Linked DNA regions of Macaca fascicularis. The main gene of each other region encodes a partner of the protein of the gene in region 3 in a complex. Links are inferred from orthologs where the notes say so. Each region holds a gene or a part of one and is shown on either strand. Other genes may lie near its edges. The genes, in order: CFD, CFP and CFB.

Region 1 (4,157 bases), on a different chromosome or scaffold from region 3:
CGCACCTACAAGCCACGCCCCTCTATGCCCGCCCCCAGCTCCTGGCCACACCCCCTCTGGCCTCAATCTCACCACGTGTTCCCCCTACCCCACCCCACTCCAGGCCCTTTCCAGGATGGGGTCCCACACCTCATCCCTGCTCTTCCAGGCTTCGACTTACCGCAGATCCCACTTCTGCCCTAACCCGTCTCAGTGGCCACCTGCTCTGCTCAATCCCCACTCACCTCAGGCACGCCCCTTCCTTAGAGCCCCACCCAATCTTGGCCCTGGCTACCACGCAACCCTCGACTTGTCCTAGGCCTCGGCCCTGCTCAGGACCCCTTCTCTTCCCCGCCGCAGCAGGGATTCCACTCTGCACCAGCCCAGCCCCTTCAGAGGTTCCCGCCCCGTCCACCTGCCCCGCCCCGTCCACCTGCCCCGCCCCTTCCTCCAGGCCCCGCCCCTCATGCCCCACCCCGCTTCCTGGCCTCGCCCCCTTGTAGTCCCTCTGTTACTGGACTCCGCCCCCTCCTCGAGGCCCGCCCCCTATCCCAACCCTAACCCACAAGTCCTTCCACATCCCACCCGTTCCTGCCCATTTTGCCCGCCCTGACCTTTCTTCAGCCCCACCCTCTCCACAGGCCCTGCACCTTCTCCAGGCCCCGCCCCCACAGCCCCGCCTCATCCCACAGGCCCCGCCCCTCGTCCAGGCCCCGCCCACAGGCCGCCCTCATGCCCCGCCCCTTCGGGTCCCGCCCCTCCACGCGCCCCGCCCCTTGCCTGGGCCCCGTTCCTACTTGCCCCCCAGCTTCCCTTCCCCTCTTCGGGACCTGCCCCCGTCCTGCGGGCCCCGCGTTTCCTCCCAGGCCCTCCCGTTCCTCCTGAAGGCTCACTTTGCAGCTGTCCCGGCGGTTGCTCTCCGCGCACATCATACGCTGGGTGATGGCGCCGTCGTGGTGCGTGCGCCGGTTGCAGGTGGCGCGGTCCAGCACTGGCAAGAGCACGTGCTGCAGGCGGTCCGGGCGGCGGCCCGCGTGGCTGACTATGCCCCAGCCGGCCACGTCGCAGAGAGTGCCCGGCTCCACGTCGCGATCCACGCGCTGCCAGGGCAGGGGGCGCACAGCAGGGCCCAGCGTGGCCTTCTCGGACAGCTAGGGATGGAGGCGGACGTCAAGGTTGGGGTGCGGGGGTGCGAGGCCGGGGAGGATGCCGCGAGGCTCGGGGACACGGGAAGGGGGAGGTGGGCATCAGGGCAGGGGGAGAGGTGGGCATCAGGGCAGGGACGGGGGTCTCTGCAGCAGGAGAGATCTAGGCTAGACCCTGGGTGGGGGTGCAGGTGGGGGTGGGGTGGGTGCGAGCGTCCCCAGTGCAGCCGCAGAGGTCGAGGCTGGACCTGGGGTGGGGATGCAGGGGATGGGGGGGCTCCCAGTGCAGCCGCAGAGGTCGAGGCTGGACCCGGGGTGAGGGTGCGGGGGTTGTGGGGCGGGGTCCGCATGCAGCAGGAGAGGTCGAGGCTGGACCCTGGACCCGGGGCGGGGTGGAGTGAGGGTGGGCCGGGGGTCCCAGCGCCTCAGCAGGGACTGCGCTACACTGGGCCGACCTGCAGCAGGAGGAGGTCGTGGTCGATGGTGTCGGGCCGGCTGTCCGGGTGCGGCACTGCGCGGAGCACGTCGTACAGGCGCTTGGAGGGCTCCGGCTGCGACAGGGAGTGCGCGCCCAGGAGAACCTGCACCTTCCCGTCGGCCCTGGGGACCGGGCGGAGTCCGCGGTCGGTGCCAGCCGAGTCCCCCCACCCCACCTGGGCTCTTTCCCCGCGCGGCGCGGGCACTCACGCGTCCTCCAGGCAGTGCGCCGCGCTCAGCACCCACTGCTCGGCCACCAGGACGCCGCCGCACAGGTGCTCGCCGTTCACCTGCACCGACGCCATGTAGGGCCGCGCGTGGGCCTCGGCCTCTCTGCCGCCCAGGATCCGACCGCGGGGCTGCGCCGCTGTGGGTGGGCGGGCATGTGAGGGCCGCGGGGTGGACTCCACCCCCGGGCGAGGCCGCCTGGCGGGATCCCAGCTTTCACCCCCGCAGGCCGCTCCGCCGAAGAATCCCATCTCAGGTCGCTGTTTCCAGCACTTTGGGAAGCCGAAGGGGCAGTGGGGGCGGGGGGCGGGCAGATCACGAGGTCAGGAGTTCGAGACCAGCCTGGCCAATACGGTGAAACGCCCGTCACTACTATAAAAAGAAATACAAAAAATTAGCCGGTGTGGCCTATAATCCCAGTTACTCGGGAAACTGAGGCAGGAGAATCGCTTGAACCCGGGAGTCGGAGGTTGCAGTGAGCCGAGATCACACCACTGCACTCCAGCCCGGGCGACGGAGCCAGACTCCCTCTCAAAAAAAAAAAAAAAGAAAGAAAAGAAAGAATTCCATCTCCGTCTTGGGGCCCCTTGGCGTTGCAAACTCAGATATGCGTGGGCCAGAATGCCCCAGAGTGCGGAACCCACAGTGGGCCGGGGATGGGGGGCAGATCCCAGCTCCCCACCCTGGGCACAATGCCTTCCAGTTGGACATAAGAGAAATAGGGCTGAGCTAACCAGTGCCTAGGCAGAACCATTTTCCACACAGACATCAGACTCTGTCTGCAAGAAAAGCTGATTCCAGAAAGTGCCAATTTCCAAAAGAATCTTCTAGAATTTCTCAGCGTTCAGAGCCTTCCATTGGTGAGGAGAGACACCCCCTTCCTGCCCACCTGGAGGGGCTGGAGGATCGTCTGTGTGACCAAGGGGAGCACCTGGCCCACGCCCCTACACACCCCGCCCCTCACCCCAGGCCCAGGCCCCCTCACCGCAGGCGGCCACTCCCAGGAGGACCAGAACTGCCAGGTGCTCCCAGCTGTGCATGGTGAAGCCGCTGTGGCTGAGACACTGACCCAGGCGGGACCCTGGGGCTGCTTTTATAAGGGTGGAGGGGGCGGGAGGCTCCCAGGGGCCCTGTCCACGGGGTGGGCAGCGGCCCAGCTGGGGAAAGGGGAACCCGCCCGCCCAGCCTCCGCCCTCCCGGGGACTGGGTTACCTCCTGCCAGACTCACACCGGAGTCCACAAGTCGCTGAGAGACCCTCCGGCCTCTGTAAGCCTGACGGCCTGCTGGCCCTGGGTGGAGGGCAGTCCCTCAGATGGGTGGGAGGCAGAGAGGGGGACTGCACCCACCCCAGCCCCCTGGCCCCAACTTCACCAGACACAGAGTCTCCGAGCCTTGTTTCACAATCCTAGTTGGAGGCCTCAGCATGTAAACAACCCACTTCCTTGTCCTGCTACCCCCCACTTCTTCTCTTCCTCCTCCAAATTAGAGAGAAGGTCTGATGGGGATAGAAAGGTCACTTGACACCCTTGTTTCTGTCTCTGTGACCTCTGGGGCTTGACGTCCTGACAAATAGAATGTTGGAAAGGCCAAGGCAGAGGCAGCTGGGAAGACTGGCTACAAAGGACAGGAAAACCAAAACAAACTGGGTGGAGCCTGAATCATGAAAGTTATATGGAAAGTTCAGGGAGGCCACCTTCAGGTGTGGCTTGATCCAGGTGCCTGAAGAATATCCAGTGTCTGCCTCTGGCTTCTCCTTTCTTCTCTGATGGCGTCTCTCCTAACCAGGCTCCCCTGGTGTGCTTCCAGGGACCCCATACTCAACCCAGTGGCTCAATGGGCCCCTCCTAAAATTCTTCATCACTCCAGCCAAGTCTCAAGGTTGCCTTGGGTTGGCGGAGCCTGGATCACACGCCCCCTCCCAAACTGCTCACTGAGGGCAGGTTCTGATGAACACAGTCAGGGCTGGCCGGGCACAGTGGCTCCCACCTACCATCCTAGCACGTTGGGAAACAAGATAGGAGGATCTCGAGCCCAGGAATTCGATGCCAGCTTGGGGAACATGGTGAGACCCCCTCTCTACAAAAAAAATTAAAATAAAATACTTTTCAGAATCTGGGCCATGGGGCCTTCTGTGAAGTGGGGATTTGTGTGTGTTGTTTTTGTTTTATTACAGACAGGGTCCTGCTCTTTGTCCAGGCTCGAGTGCAGTGGTGCGATCATAGCTCCCTGCAGCCTCCTCGACCTCCCGGGCTCAACTGATCCTCCTACCTCAGCCTCCGGAAGGGCTGGGACTGCAGGCCTGCTCATGGTGTAGCTCCATTTTTCAC
Region 2 (3,327 bases), on a different chromosome or scaffold from region 3:
TTCCTCGGCCCGCCCCCCGCCTCGCCGAGCTATTTGTCGCTGGTAATTGCGGCATTGGAGCTAGGCTGTCGGGAGTGGGTGGGTGCAGGTGCTCGGGCGGCAGAGTGCCAGCCTCGGCCACGCCTCTGCCGTTCATCCTCCACAGACGCGGAGTCGGAGTCGGCCAGCAGAGGCTCCTCTGAGGCTCCAGCTGGTGGGAATCTAGGGAGGTCCAGGAGGCGGGGAGACAACGAACAAGCACGCCTGCCAATCAAGAAGTGCCTGCCAAGACAAGTAGCCAATCAGGGAATTCGTAACGCGGAGCTCTGCAGAGGAACGTGCCGGGCGGCCCTGGAGCACTAAGGGGGGCTGCGCAGGGCCCAGACACTGGGGTTATGGCAGCGGCGGGGAGAGGCTGGGGCTGCACACTCGCTTTCACTCCTGCCAACCTGCGACCACAGTGGAAGATACTGTTGTCCGCAACAGACTGCTGTGTCTTGGCCCGTGCTGTGCCCTTTGCCCTGTGGGATGCTATCACCCTACTTTTGGGGAAGGGGATGGGTTGTTTTTCCTCCTTTAAGGAATCGTAGACGAGCTCGAAGAGGTTAGTTTATTGAGGTTTGGAAGGTCAGGGTGCTCAGAGTGGAGGAGAGAGGTGTTAGAGTTTCTCTTCCTCAGGGTCTTTGCAAGCAGGCACGTGTAGACATGGTCGTTTCTCCTCCACCACCAGCTTCTGCCCCTGTAGCTCCTCACACCGTGGCAGCGGTCTCCCCCAGAAGGTCACGTTCTTCTCGCCCTGACCTTCGACCATGGAAACGGTGGGCCTGAGGCATTAGGGGTGGGAAGGAACGGAAGGGAGAAGCTCAGGGAAGGCAAGAATGCATTCAGATCTTATTGAGCGCCTGCTATGTGCCAAATGCTACCTTTTGTTTGTTTTATCTGTTTTCTTTTTTTTGAGACAGGGTCTCATTCTGTTGCCCAGGCTGTGCAGTGGCACAGTCATAGCTCACTGCAGCCTCAATCTCCTGGGCTCAAGTGATGCTTTTGCCTCAGCCTCCCAAAGTGTCGCTGGGATTACAGGCGTGAGCCACTGTGCCTGGCCTCCCAACATTACTTTTTAGCTATGGGATATTGGGCAATTTCTTTAGCTTCCCTGTGCCTCAGTTTCCCTCATCTGCAAATGAGAATGGTAGGAATAGTAATATTAATACTCACCTCACGGGGCCGAGTGAGGATAAATGAGTTAATTCAGGTAAAGTGCTCAGAGCAGTGCCTTACACACAGCAAGTGCTCAATAAATGCTGGTGAATGTTACTTGTTGGCATGAGCTACTTTCTCTTACGTCCAAAATATATATCCTTTATATCTCTTTCCACCGCCTCTAGGAAAAAACCCAATGCCTTGTCCTGACATTCAAGGCCTTATCATTGGGCCCAAATCCCTGCCCCAAGCCAATCTCTCTCTGTCTTTCTCCTCCACTTTATTCAAGCTCAGTCCATGTCCAGAAAGGTCTTTACCTGGGTTGTTTCTCCCACTAGGCAAGCCCTCCATTCACTCCCATCCCAGTTTTCTCCATTGCTTCTTCCTCCGCTCAGTCTCTCACTCACTCAAGTCCTTTGTGCCTCCATTCAACACCTCTAATTCATCTTCAGGCCCCACTCTAACCCCCCCAGCTGGGAGATCTCTTCCCAGATGGCAGCCCTTCCACGAGCTGGGAATAGTCCACTTAATCTAGTAGCTTGATGTATGTGGAAGGAAGAAAAGGGATGACCGTTTTAACCCTCTGGCACCTGGATGTTAAATGGATGAACATTTAACACCTGGGCCCTTCTGGCACCTGGAAACACTTATGGCAGCTAATCACCTAGCTCCAAGTCTTTGTTCACAGTCTTGATGCCAGGAACGCCTTTCCCAACCCCTACCTTCCCTGGGAGGCCCAATCAGCTTCCTGGACCTAGGTTGAGGTGGCAGCCCCTGTTGCATGCACCAGCTGTTCCTCATATGCCTCCTGTCAGGGGCCTGCTCAGCTGGGTCCCTTGGAGGATCCACAGGATCTGGGCTGTGTGTATCTGCAACTGTTGCTGAAAAAGCCTTGGAGTGCCTTAGGGCAGTGAGATGCTGACAAAGTGGATGGAGGCATGAGTGACTGTGGGAGCCAGGCAGTGAATGGAGGCCTGAGTGGCGGCAGCTAAAAGCATGAGTAACTAAAGGTTGGAGTCAATGACACATGAAGGACTAAGTGAATGGGAGAGTGGATGAGTGACTGAACGAGTGACTGAGGGGCACAGAGGCTACAAATTCTCCCCCAAGAGCTTCTTTCTCATCTTCTTTCATTTCTCCCCACTTCCTGCAGCTGGGAGGTGGCACTCGGCAAGGCAGATACCTTAGATTCAGCAGTGGAAGCCCTGGTTTCCAGGGGTAGCTGACTCTCCCGCCTGTAATATCATGACCCCCTCCCAGGCATACTTTGCCCTCTCACTCACGGGTACTTGGGGAGCAAGGGTGTGCAGAGGCGCTGGCGGGCACGGGTAGGATTAGGTCCACAGGGGGGCATGCACAGCCCCCAGGTACTCCACTCTGACCATGATCCTTTCACTGCAATGAGGGGTAGGGGTCACAGAGTCAGAACTGGAGGTCTTGGTGGGAAGGTGAGAGGGAGGCTGCAGAGACGTGAGGTGCAAAGCAGAGAGTTGGAAACCCCTTATCCTGCATGGGCCACCCCACCCTCAGAGCACAGTCTGGGGGACACTCACAGGGGCAGTGTTGGATGCTGTAGCAGTGCCGAATATCCTGTTGTTGCCCGGTACATCGATGTCCGTCAAACTTGCGGCCCTTGCAGGTCCTCCAGCGTGACTGCTGGCCCGGGATTTCTTCACAGCTGATGGACTTCATGTTCCGGCGGACACAGGTGCTCCACTGTCCCCACAAGTCCCACTCTCCATCCACTGCAGAGACAGGGCAAGAGGAGATTGGAACAAAGCAGGGAATCAGCAAGAGGTTCAGAGGAAGAAATGAGGGCGGTAGGAGGGAGTAGAGGTGATCAGATGTGCGAATGGGGGATCGGGGTGGAAACAAGGTATCAGGGCCAGGAAAGGAGGAATCAGAGACAGGAGCAAGGCCTCAGCAGCAGGAACTGGGCAGCAGAGAAGGGCATGGGGGGCTTAGGCATGCAAATCGTGAACTCTGAGATGCTGACCAGGGCAGGGCACGGCTGTGTTGCAGATGTGGGTCCGGGTGGCATCACCAGCACAGGAGGGGCCTCCATGCTGGGGCACAGGGCGATTGCACGTCCGTCGTTCTATGGTCTGGCCCAGGCCACAGGTCACAGGGCAGGGGCTCACAGGGCCC
Region 3 (3,620 bases):
TGTCAATAAAGGGCTACAGAGGTTTTCTAGTTTTTAGCTTCTGACATACTGACTATAAGTAGTGGGTTAATATCATTCATATATCTCAACAATGACATTTGGGATTTTTCTAAGAACAAAACATTCATCAAAATGTCCACTTACACTCTCCTTGGCCATGGGTTGGCACAAAGGAGCTAAGGAAGACAGGCCATCCTGGCCACCAGAGGGCAGCGTGGAAACTGGGTTTCCAGGGGCCAGCAGCCAGGACTGAGGTGGTCAGGAGTCAGCCTCAGGGTCTGATCTATGATCTCCTTTAGACCTTAACTGTTCCTCTCCTCCCTCCCTAGCTGTCCAGAACAGCCCTAAGGGTTGCCACCGGGACAAGAGGACCCAGATTGTCTACAGTGATGACGTCTACAAGGAAAACCTTGTGGATGGCTTCTAGGGAACAGAGCTGGATTCCTTGTGCCTCAAATGCCCCAATGCTGGTCTCAGTAAAACACTGAGGTGGAAGCTTACATATCTCCCTCAGCCTCTGGTTTTTCAGCACTTGGGATTGGGGTTAAGCCTTTAAAAATGGGTGTCAGGTTTGATCTCAGTGTAACAACATGGCCAGTGCCCGTTCCCCACTCCCTTGCCCCAAAAGGATCTGGAACACAAGTGTTGTCGCAGCTGTTTTAATTCAATCCCGCGCCCCTGTCCAGCAGGAAACCCCTTATAGAAAACCCAAATCCTCATCTTGGAGTTTCTCCTTCAGCCAGGGCAGCACTTGGAAGAGGTTGACGTGAAAGTCTCGGGCGTGAGCAGGTACCTGCTTTTGCCGCTTCTGGTTTTTGCAGACATCCACTACTCCCCAGCTGATGACACCAACCTGCAGAGGCAGTGGGGTGCCATGGATCATTCATAGAATTCCTAATCCTGGAAGCATGACTGTTCCTGATTGTGTCTTAGCTGACCTAAAGGAATCAGGCTAGGGACCCAGCTCAGCCTCATTCTTGACACACACAGGCCAGACATGCAGTCCTAAAGTGAGGCAGGCTCTGCCCACCTCGAATTACTAGCCACATGCATTGTGCTTTCCTGCTTTGGGGCCCATGCTGACCACTTGGCATCTCCCCAGATAGGAAAGGGAGGACTCACTTGAATAAAACGACTTCTCTTGTGAACTATCAAGGGGCCGCCAGAATCACCTGCAAGGAGAGGAGAAGCTGTAGGGAAAAGGACTCTTGGCCCTCGGGCACTTGGAGCACAACCAGAGAGCGTTCTCTCACCTCTGCAAGTATTGGGGTCAGCATAGGGACTCACTCCTCCAGTACAAAGGAACCGAGGGGTGACCACCTCGGAGATGTCCTTGACTTTGTCATAGCCTGGGGCATATTGAGCATCTCTCTCACAGCTGCCTTTCTGTAGGGGAGGTGGGAAGCATGGAGAAAGGTAATGAACAGAGGTGGCTTAGGAAGGATTAGGGCCTAGAGTGCCTCCTTAGGATGCCCATTTCTCACCTTATCCCCATTCTTGATGTAGACCTCCTTCCGAGTCAGCTTCTTCTCCTCCTCAGACACAAACAGAGCTTTGATATCCTGTGCAGGGAGCAGCTCTTCCTCTGGACAAATAGACTGCATCACTTCAGCTGCTCCCACCACTGTCATCTCCCTATTGACTTTGTCACTCAGCAGATGTCCCCTAAGCCCTTCCTAGTGCTAGGTTCTGGGCCAGGCATCGTCTCTTCCTATTGCATCTCCCTCTCATGCCTCACTTGTCTCGGGATCTCATCCTTATCCTCCCCCCTAGTATGTCTTACTCTGTTGCTGGCAAGTGGTAGTTGGAGGAAGCCTCAAAGCTCGAGTTGTTCCCTCGGTGCAGGGGAGACAAATGGGCCTATAAAGGATGGAGAAAGAACAGCAAACTAGGCCTGCTCCTCACCCCAGTCCTCCAGCCTTTCCCAGCCTTTCCTCAGGGATCTGGATGCTCTCACCTGATAGTCGGGTCATAATTCAACTTATTCTTGAGCTTGATCAGGGCAACGTCATAGTCATAAAATTCAGGAATTCCTGCTTCTTTTTTCCCGCTAATGTTGTAGTCGGGGTGAAATAGGACTTTTTCTATCTCCAGGTCCCGCTTCTTCCCTTGAAGTAGGAGAATAGGTACCACCTCTTTGTGGGCAGCTTCTTGCCTCTGGCCCCATGTCATTCCTAACTTCAAGTCTTCCCCATCCCTGACTGGTCTGGGGTGCAAGGGATGGGGCTGCATTGCAGATGAGTGGAGTGTGGGATCTGTAGAAAGTGGGAGGTGTTGCCTGGAGGGCGTAGGTGCAGCCCGGGACCTTCAGTTGCATCCTTACCCACGCTGACCTTGATCGAGTGTTCCTTGTCGTCCACAGTAAAACAATGTGCTGCTGTCAGCACAAAGTACTCAGACACCACAGCCCCCATACAGCTCTCATGTCCCTTCGAAGGGCGCTGGGAACAGAACAGTAGAAAGGGAAAACTCAACTTTCACAAACCACCATCTCTTACGGCCATTTTGCCCTTCCCCTACTCCCATTTCACCTTGACCTCACCTCCCCCAAGTCCTCACTACTGGGATTCTGTGCTTACAGTGACTGAGATCTTGGCCTGCCATGGTTGCTTGTGGTAATCGGTACCCTCGCTGTGTTCCCAAACCATGCCACAGAGACTCAGAGACTGGCTTTCATCTGGCAGAGAAGGAGAATGTGCTGAAAACTTGGAACACTTCATTCCCAAACGGCAGCAGCCTTTGGGTAGAAGTCTGTGGGGGGCAGAGGCCCAAAAGGAGAAAGGGAAAGGCCACAGGTATTTGTTTCCTCGTGTTAGGAGAAAACTGCTGTGGTGGAGTGAAAAGGGAAAGAACTTGGGATCAAGCTATCAGAGGCCTGGCTGTTTTCAAGCCCAGCCCTGTTGCTAGCTTGCTGCCCCTTGACCTCCTTTGGCCTTTGTTTCCACATGTGTCAAATGTAGGACAATAGAAAGATCTCTGAAGTGCCTAGAGCTCTGTGATTCTAAGGTTAAGAAGCAAACAGTGCCAGGAAACAAGAATAGTGATACTGAGGTAGAGAAGGAGGAATGAAGAAGGCTTTCCAGGCAACTAGAGCTTCAGGGGTAGAGGAAGAATGAATTATTTCAGGGGAAGCTGAGGAGAGTTGCGTTCTTGATTCCCTTGTGTCTGCCTACCAATCATTTGGAAGAAAACGTCTTCCAGGTTTTCCATATCCTTGACTTTGAACACATGTTGCTCATTGTCTTTCTTGGAAGCCAAAGCATTGATGTTCACTTGGTCCACCAAAGGTCCAACCCCAAACACATAGACATCTGAGGGAGAAAAAGGAAGGATGACGGTCCAAGCCCTGAGGAAGTAGGGTGCTGGGTCCTAGGCAGGTTACTCACCCAGATAATCCTCCCTCGGGTTTTTACGATCCTTGCCGATGTATAACAAGTCCCGGATCTCATCAATGACAGTAATTGGGTCCCCGCCCATGTTGTGCAATCCTGCAGAAGAGACGGGACCATGAGGGTAGGAGATAAGATAAATTGGCTAGAGGCAGTGATACACGTGGCAGGGTGAGTAAGTTGAGGAAGGGTTAGAGGTAGTTGATCACAGGGCTTTAGGAATAATTCTTT

The links.
Region 1: the proteins of CFB (region 3) and CFD are in contact, whole or in part, in a crystal structure (PDB 2XWB), measured with the Homo sapiens proteins. The link is inferred for Macaca fascicularis from reciprocal best matches to the Homo sapiens genes CFB and CFD. Residues at the interface, in NP_001701.2 of Homo sapiens: Glu298, Ala301, Ser302, Ala332, Asp333, Ile469, Asp470, Glu471, Ser472, Glu518, Tyr519, Lys585, Asp758, Glu759, Asp760; in NP_001919.2 of Homo sapiens: Asn157, His158, Ala159, Gly160, Arg161, Arg162, Arg182, Thr183, Asp186, Arg200, Val228, Cys229, Gly230, Asn231, Arg232, Lys233.
Region 2: the proteins of CFB (region 3) and CFP are in contact, whole or in part, in a crystal structure (PDB 7NOZ), measured with the Homo sapiens proteins. The link is inferred for Macaca fascicularis from reciprocal best matches to the Homo sapiens genes CFB and CFP. Residues at the interface, in NP_001701.2 of Homo sapiens: Glu54, Gln56, Ser78, Thr316, Tyr317, Leu349, Ser351, Met394; in NP_001138724.1 of Homo sapiens: Arg329, Arg330, Asn331, Lys333, Pro341, Met420, Val421.

What each region holds. Positions count from the first base shown.
Region 1 is NC_088393.1:1,424,196-1,428,352, reverse strand, and holds the start of CFD (complement factor D), read right to left. Parts: upstream 2,896-4,157; 5' UTR 2,870-2,895; coding exon 2,815-2,869; intron 1,969-2,814; coding exon 1,812-1,968; intron 1,725-1,811; coding exon 1,580-1,724; intron 1,131-1,579; coding exon 873-1,130; intron 1-872.
Region 2 is NC_088395.1:47,723,778-47,727,104, forward strand, and holds the end of CFP (properdin), read right to left. Parts: coding exon 3,176-3,327; intron 2,925-3,175; coding exon 2,733-2,924; intron 2,575-2,732; coding exon 2,463-2,574; intron 804-2,462; coding exon 638-803; 3' UTR 576-637; downstream 1-575. UniProt on the Homo sapiens protein: A positive regulator of the alternate pathway (AP) of complement. It binds to and stabilizes the C3- and C5-convertase enzyme complexes. Inhibits CFI-CFH mediated degradation of Complement C3 beta chain (C3b).
Region 3 is NC_088378.1:139,755,974-139,759,593, forward strand, and holds the end of CFB (complement factor B), read right to left. Parts: intron 3,489-3,620; coding exon 3,387-3,488; intron 3,312-3,386; coding exon 3,174-3,311; intron 2,678-3,173; coding exon 2,580-2,677; intron 2,442-2,579; coding exon 2,324-2,441; intron 2,109-2,323; coding exon 1,958-2,108; intron 1,861-1,957; coding exon 1,784-1,860; intron 1,586-1,783; coding exon 1,485-1,585; intron 1,387-1,484; coding exon 1,254-1,386; intron 1,173-1,253; coding exon 1,123-1,172; intron 854-1,122; coding exon 698-853; 3' UTR 644-697; downstream 1-643. Other genes in the region: NELFE (negative elongation factor E), read left to right, coding at 330-427.